Linked DNA regions of Mus musculus. The protein of the gene in region 2 interacts with the protein of the main gene of each other region in a biochemical or structural test. Links are inferred from orthologs where the notes say so. Each region holds a gene or a part of one and is shown on either strand. Other genes may lie near its edges.

What was found.
Region 1: the proteins of Pbx1 (region 2) and Pknox1 form a complex in vitro, tested with the Homo sapiens proteins (2 studies listed by BioGRID). The link is inferred for Mus musculus from reciprocal best matches to the Homo sapiens genes PBX1 and PKNOX1.

Annotation. Positions count from the first base shown.
Region 1 is NC_000083.6:31,563,329-31,567,741, reverse strand, and holds the start of Pknox1 (homeobox protein PKNOX1), read right to left. Parts: upstream 2,970-4,413; 5' UTR 2,854-2,969; intron 1-2,853. UniProt on the Homo sapiens protein: Activates transcription in the presence of PBX1A and HOXA1.
Region 2 is NC_000067.6:168,194,373-168,198,179, reverse strand, and holds part of Pbx1 (pre-B-cell leukemia transcription factor 1), read left to right. Parts: intron 1-2,296; coding exon 2,297-2,432; intron 2,433-3,807. UniProt on the Homo sapiens protein: Transcription factor which binds the DNA sequence 5'-TGATTGAT-3' as part of a heterodimer with HOX proteins such as HOXA1, HOXA5, HOXB7 and HOXB8. Binds to the DNA sequence 5'-TGATTGAC-3' in complex with a nuclear factor which is not a class I HOX protein.

The DNA.
Region 1 (4,413 bases), on a different chromosome or scaffold from region 2:
TAGAGACAACATGGTGACTACAAAGGGAGCCCACTGGACACCTGTCGTCTTATCCCAGTGAGCACACACACAGAGTCACCAGAGAAGGCTTACCTCTATCAGAAGGTGGGCCTTCAGGTGACAGGATTGCCCTGAACAGAAATTATGTTATATACACAGAGCACTGACAACCCATGCTAACCAGTTTACCCTCAGACGGGAAGAAGGGCCTTGTGACTTTACCCATCAGGATGGCCACGCTCTATCACTCCAGAGAAAGGCCCAAGATGATAAAATCATCTGGAGCAGGGATATTTGGAATGACAGGGCTTTGTAAAGCAAGAGTTCCGTCAGTGAACTGCATCCCCTACCTCATGGTTTTCAAGATTCTGTAAATGTTCCCCCCCCCCGCCACCTCCCTGAAAATCCTTGGAGTAAGAAGCTACGCCATCCGCTTCCCATGATGCTGTTCCAAGAACCACAGAACATCAGAGACACAATTCCCAACCACAGGCCACACTGCCTGCCTTCTGGGGGGAACTTCCTAAACAATAGCTCAACAGCAGGGGCTGTAGCAGTTGAGGTACCTGGCATACCCTCAGTAATGTAACACGAAGCAGCCTTTGTGGCCAGGCCTTTGTCTGCTTTGCACCAAATGACTGTCCAGTCCACTTTGTTCATCCTACCAATCCTACCACATACAACATACTTTCACTCTAGACAAGATGGAAACTTTCACTCTAGACAAGAACTCCCTGTGTTTCAGCACAGCTAACTGTAAGACAGCCTAACCCACCAAAGGCTGTGGCTAACTTCTCTTACCCTCAACCACTGTTAGACCACACCACATCAGGACATCAAGCTCTCCTGACTGTTGTACTTCTTGAATTCCTTGTCACCTCTGCCAACAAAAAATTTGCCAGGTCATGAAGAGGGCCCTGAACATCCATTCATCCATATTCCTACCAAAGACAGCTGAATGTACATGGGTTTCTAAAAAGGACAGAAACTGACAAAAACAAAAAGGAAGCATCTTCAGCGAGGAAGGCAATCAGATCAGATGAGCAAAACCAGTGTGAGGCATGTCCACAAAGCATTTAAGTTGTCACAGAAACCTCACCACACTCCCAAAGGACTTGGAAAGCTCTGCTCAGCCCGGCTGCACAGGGAGCTAATCCGGGGCTCCGATGAGACACTTTGGCCCAATACTTTTTTTAAGACAGGGTTCTCTATGTAGCCATGACTATCTTGATTGAACTCTATAGCCCAGACTAAAGAGGTCCACCTGCCTCTGCCTCCTGAGTGCTGGAATTAGGAGCGTGCCACCACCACCTCGCTAGATCAGATATTTTTGAGAGCTATTCCAACATGACTGGTACTCTTTTTGACCCTGGGAAAGTTTCAGCTCCTGGATCCACACTTCGAACTTTGGCAAATCTCTTTTCCTCTCAACAGTTCTGGTTTTAACTGTGCAGGGCCAAAGTGAAGCTTGTAACTGAATGTTACTACTCCTACAGTGACTTTGTTTCCACAATTCACAATCAGGACCTCCTAAAGTTAGGATACAAGGCCACAGAAACGTTACCAAATGTAAACTGCCGCCCCCTGAATCACAGAGCTGGTTGGGGGCGGGGGGGGGGGGGGGAACCGAGCTATCTTCCCAGCCATCCTTGTTCTATCCTAAAGCACAGGGGTCTCTCTTAAGGAGCATCAACTCCTGGTGCCCTGGTGGCCAAAGTTCTCCAGGAAGAACCTTAAGCTTCAACGGTACCTCACACAATGGTGGATCTAAGACTCAGCGCGCTATTGCCAACGGGATGGCCCGCACAGGCTGGGAGGGTTTAGGGACTCTTGCCTGCCTCACCTGGACACCGAATGAGCAACAAAAAGCGTGCTAGCAACGCGTTCCCGCCTCAGTCAAATCCTTCCCTGGAGTGTTTAGGGAAAGCTCATTTTTCTAGTGCTATGACAGGAGGCCTGCTTAGAGGCGTGTTCTTCCATCCTTTAGTGGAAATCACCCACATCTTTAAAAAAAATAAAATAAAACAAAAACAAGTCACTTCTGGAAGAGGCTTCCCTGTCGAGCCGACACCCACGTCTCAACTATCCAGAATCCCTGATGTGTGCTCAATCTTGGCCCCCGTGGCCCGCGCGCTCCCGGCTGGCGCGGTGGGACCGACCGCGCAGGCTACGGCCTCCGGAGCCTGGAGCCGCGACGTCGCCGGGCTCGGTGCTCCTAGCCGCACCGCTTCCCTTCTCAGATACACACGGAGCAGGCACAGCGGACCAAGCGCTCCTCGAGAAGCTCTCCCCGACGGGCCGTGGACACGCGCGACACGCTGTCACCATCCGCGGACTCCCCCGGGAAGCCCCACACCGGCTCCGGCCGCCCCTCTGGGCTGCCGACCCCGCCGCCATCTTCCTGCCGCGCCGCCCCCGGGCCTCGGCCCTCGGCCCTCAGCCCGCCGCCGCGCGCCCCCGCCGGCCCGCGCGCCCCCGCAGCCGCGAGCTGCACTCCGTGAGCGACGGTTAGGCGCGCGCTTCGAGCGGGCCCAGCGCGGAGGCCCTGCCGCCTTCGAGAAATTTCCGCGCCCCTGAACCCACACAGGAAAACAAGCCGGGCGCGCCCCCGCGCCGCGGCCTCAGCGCCCCCTCCCCCCATCGGCGCACCCCTCCCCCCGCCCCCGCCCCCGCCCCGGGCGCGGGTCAAGTGCGGCCCGGGGCACCGCCCGCCCGACCGCCCGCCTGGCCCGCGGCGGAAGAGGCAGCGGCGGAGGCGGCGGCAGCGGCGGCCTCGGCCGGTGTGATTGATAGGGACGGCGGCAGCGAGAGCGGCGGCGGCGGCGGCGGCGGAGCGGTTGAGTGACAGCTTACCTGGGTGCCAATCTTCATCACACTGACAAGCGGCTGCAGCAATCGGGACCCGCAGTGCCGCGCCCGCGTCCAACCGTCACGCCGACGCCGGGCCACGCGACACAGCCTCGCTCAATGGGAGGAGGGCGACGCCGATGCGCGCCGCATCAATATTCACCGCGGGGGCGGGGCCTGCCGACCCCGGGCCCCGCCCCCGCCCAGCGCGACGGCGGGCGGGGGGCGGGGCGGGTGGGGCGGGGGCGAGGCAGGGGGCGGGGGAGGGCCCAAGCGGGGCGGGGCAGAGGCCGGTCCCGCCCCGCTGCGCGCACTCAGCCAGGCCCCACCCAGCGGCCCAGCCCGGGCGCCAGTAGCAGCCTGCCCCGCCCCAGAGGCAGAGCTTATGTTTCATGACCACGCCGTGGGGCGTGGCCCAGAGAGCTATAGACCACGCCTCCTCTGCGCACTCGTCTGCTCCCTCCCTTCGGATAAAGGTTTGTGGAACTGGGTGGAACCATCTGCAGCTCAGGCGGGGAGTACGGGCTGTACCATCAGAGGACCTTCGCGATTCTGGGCCTCCCGGCTCTAGCCCTTCGTTCTGAGCGGCGCCTCGCAATCAAGGTTCTGGAGCTGGGGTAGGCGCGAGGAGGTAGGCGTTCATCTTTAAAGACCGAAGGACTGAGCGCTTGAGATGTTTGCCCTGGGATCTAACCATGGATGCAGTCTCCTGACTGACCGTGAAGTGACTGCGGTCTGACATCTGGTCCGTTAGGACTCCAGGCCAAAAAAAAAAAAAAAAAAAAAAAAAAAAAAAAGAAAGAAAAAGAAAGAAAGAGACCTTTCCTTAGGAGGACTGGACAGTGTTGTCTCTAGTTGAAGCTCTGCCTAACCAGATCATCTGCAGCAGCGTACCCCGGGCCCCGTGGCTTCACTGATCGAAGTAAAAGACAGAGCGAAAGAGGCCCTCAATTTGCCTGGCTTGTCTAGGCAACAGTTTTATGCAGTGGCCGCCTGAGTGTGTGATCGGTGCTTCTCATCCGTACACAGATTAAAGCGGTTCTGATGACCCCACACTCCTCAGGAGGAGCCTTGTACCCCAGGACTGTTGGCTGGAAGGGGCCTGAGGAAGCCGCAGCATGTGTTTGGTAGGACACCCTCCTGTGTCCTCAAGGCTCCACAGACACCCCAAGGCATCACTCTCTTTGTAGCTACAGTTCGGTTCACCACAGAACCCACGTGGAAGGAGAAAACCAACTACCAACACATGTGTGGTATGCACACACATTTGTCCACATACAATAGCAACAACAATATTAAAATTTGAAAAACTGGGTTTGGGAGCTGAAGATATGGCTCAGCTGATAAGAGTGCTTACCTAGCATACACAAAACCCTAGGTGGGATCCCCAACACACATTAAACCTTACCAGGTTTAATATGGTGACATATGCCTGTTATCTCAGCACTTGGGTAGTCGAAGCACAAAGATCAGAAGGTCAAATTCATTCTTATCTACCTTTTGAGGTCCTAGCCAATATGGAATACATAGGGACCTTGCCTCAAAGAACAAAGTTATTAAGCATTG
Region 2 (3,807 bases):
CTTATAACTGTCTGTAACAGGTCTGACACCTTCTAGCAGTGCATATACATGGTGCACAGACATATGCGGACAGCCTGCCTACACACTATACAAATTGTATACACACACACACACACACACACACACACACACACACACACACACCACAGTGATCACTGCTCTAATTGGCTGGCGATCACAAACATTAATCTACAAGTCAGGAATGCTAAAGCAAGGAAGGCAGTTGTCCAGTTGTCTCATCTCTCAGCCTTAACCCTCAGACACACGTTATTTTCACTACATTTTTTAAAAGTCCTGACCATGGGATTTCAGAGACAGATTAAGACAGCTACTGAGCGAAGTGATAAGCGAGTCCGTTGGAGTAGATGAGACCACCTAGGGTAGATCATATCCTGGATGCCAAGAGAGCCAGCAACAGCTGTCTGCACCCTCCCCACACCACTAGCTCATTCCAGAGAGGTTTCCTTTGAGCTCAATTGGAAGACTCCCAAAAAATACTCTGTAATGCTAATTGCAGATAATGGGCTGAAGGACTGGGGGTTCTCCTAGAGACAGAGGTGGTTCCTGGTCCAGTTCCCCAGACCCCAAACAACTATCTGTAGGAAAACCAGCAAAAGGTTCTTTGAAGGCAAACCCAGAGGGTGTGTTGACCACTAGGCTATCTCCCTTGAATTTCCATTAAGCAAGAACTTTCCACACAAGCCTCTCTTTTTTTCTCTGGGCTTTTAAATCCAATCTGTCCAATTTCTGATGCTGGATGACCCAGAAACTCAGCATGGTTTGGGAGAGTGACTTGAGCTTGCCGTAGCCCAGACATATGTAGTTGATACCTATGGGCAGATGGTGTTCATCCGGTAAAATCAGGTACTTTATTGTGTTAATTAATGCAAGAGGGACCCTGAAAATACAATATTAGCTAAATTTCCAGTCTAGCAAGGCCACCGGTGCTTTCTGTTGGCTAAATTTGGAAGTTTCTATCCTGATATAACCAGAGATGTTCTGGAATTCTTTTCCTTGAGGAATAACTTGGACAGAAAGCAAGGCAGGTAAATGTGCTATTAGAGAGAATTTAAAAAGGAAGGCTTCCCCCACTTCAAGGAAAAAAACCAGGCCTATACAGAGCCTAGAGGCCTCTTTGAGACCTTCCCACCACCCACAGGCCTTAGCATTGAGGAAGCAATAAAGTAATTCTCACTTGAGATTTGTTCAATTAGCACCCCTGTGTTTTTTAAAGGCAGAAAAATGCTTTTATGAAGAGAAAAATGGTCTTCTTTTTGGCAACCTGTGTATGAGGAAGAATTCTGTGAGCCTTTGTTTTACCATTTAGCGGCTTCTCCTGCTGCAAAATAACCTTTCTCTGTCTGTTCAGGGAGATCAGGCAGTCAGGGGTTAATTCCAGTCAGTTTCCTGACCTCTTGCCCAGATGACTTTTTAAAATGTTGGATGCATTTGCATGGGGATAGAATAGAGAGAAAATGATAACTTAGTTTTAATTCGGGGCTTAACAGAATCTCTGTGTCACAGTTTGTATAGAAGCAAGAAGCTGAGTTGTATGCCAGGCAGACCTGAACTATCTCCATACCATACCTGCTGAGTGACTTAGAACACAGTATTTAATCTTAGAATAGGGCCAGGCTGTGGTAACAGTGGCAGTGGAGGTGGTGAGAGTGATGGCGCATGTCTTAATCCTAACACTTTGGAGGCAGAGGCAGGTGGATCTCTGAGTTCGAGGCCAGCCTGGTCTACAGACTGAGTTCCAGGACAGCCAGGGGTACACAGAGAAACCTGTCTTGAAAAACAAAACAAACAAACTAACTAACAAAAAAATGATGTGTGGATAAGAATAGCTCCAGCTACGTCACAGGTGGAATAAACGACTCGTTCCTGCTCATGTAGGAAGGGCCTGGAATGCAGCCACTGAGTTTGGCTTTTGTCTGGTGCTAAATACTCTTCTGAGTCCTTCTTGTACATGGTCCTTGTACACTACCTTGGAACTCTATACATTCAGTTGAAGAAACTGATGCTTAGGTGACATTCAGTCACCACCCAGTTGGTATCTAGCTGGTCTAGGATTTAAACCCAAGGTGCCCTGAATGTACAGATGTATTTAATTCTCTTCTCCCCTTCATTCGAACTACAGAGCAAATGTGCTTAGAAGTTTGGGCATTTGGCCCTTTTGCAGATTAACTTGAACTCAACCTTTGTTCAAAGCTGTCTCTTCTTCTAGAAGCCAGCCTGCTCTCCGTTTGCCTAATTTGACCTTCTTTCTCATCTCTTTCCCTTTCTTGTTCTGAAGGCGGAAGAGACGGAATTTCAACAAGCAAGCCACAGAAATTCTGAATGAATATTTCTATTCCCATCTCAGCAACCCTTACCCCAGTGAGGAAGCCAAAGAGGAGTTAGCCAAGAAGTGCGGCATCACAGTCTCCCAGGTGAGAAACCCTTGAAGAGCCAGCTTGTGGCCTTGCCTGATGGAGCCTCAGGGGGGTCTTGGAGGTTTTTCTTGGGCCTTCGGGCCTTGTAAGATCCACCAGGGAGAGCCTTGAAAGAGGAAGGTAAGCTCTTAGTACTTGTGAGACAGTTTTCAGGTGAGTTTAAAAGCCCAACCAAGGGAAACAACCAAAGGAAGAGAAAATTTAGAATACAGTGTGCAAAGAGAGACAGGCTCCTCCTGGATGGAAGTGTTTATTATATAATACCCGCACGTTCCGTGCCGTTCCTTCTAATTCCGTAGCAGTTTTTTTTTTTCTCCAAAACCAGGAACTTTAATAAGAGTTGGTGACCCAAACTACTTGAATGAAAGGGATGTCAATGCTTTCTCTTAGTGTTCTGACTCTACAAGGAATAACTGATTTGGAGAAGGAATTGAGAATGCCACTGGTTCCATTGGAATGGCACTGAGTGTCCCTTCCTCCAGAATGCATTCACTATAACAGGTCTCCACTGACGTGGAAAGATGCATGATGCAATAGTTGTATGCACATGGAATCTCTTAACATGAGCAGAATAAAAAAATAAAAAATAAAAAAAGAAGCAGTATTGAGCCCCTACTTTAGCCTAGAAAAAAAGTATAAGAAAAATTACATACTCCCCTGGATTTGAGAAGAAGACTTCCTTACAGTAGTGACTGTCTTTGGAAACACCCACTTAGGTAAGGCAGCATGCATATGGGCCTTCAGTGGCTCTGTGACCTAGCTGAAGGTCCTTTCCAGTCACATCGCTTAAAGAAAGAACCTCAGTAGTCAGACTCAACTAGTCCAGTCTCCTGTTTTTCTAGAACTGTTCCCATTTCAGTCTAGGTTTAGATTTCTTGTCTATATAACGGGAAGACATGATGTTCCTTGCTCCTGGTGGTGGATCTGACGAGTGAGTTTACGTCGGGAACCACACACCTCAGTAAATTCCCATGGTAGCGTCCTCTAAACTACTCCATGGACTCAAGGCAAAGTCCATAATTCCAGATTTTAAATTTATCTAGAAATGAGGAAGAAGCCTTCTGGAGTCAGGTTGTAGCTAACGATACTGGCATTAGCTCTAGCAACCTCTACCTCCTTCATGGTGGAAAGCCAAGTGCTGAATACTTTGTTCATTAAAAGAATTATTTATATGCTGTGTCTCCTTTCATCTGTTTCCTATCTATTCCAAGGCCATGCAATTCTTGCCTCCCCCGACCCCCAACACACACCCCATCACCACCACCATCACAGTAACAATTACAACAGGTAGGCTAAGCTGCTCCACATTGTGAGGCAAAATCTGCTGAGAAACAGCATGATGCTATTCATAGACTAATAGGCTGGGGGCTCA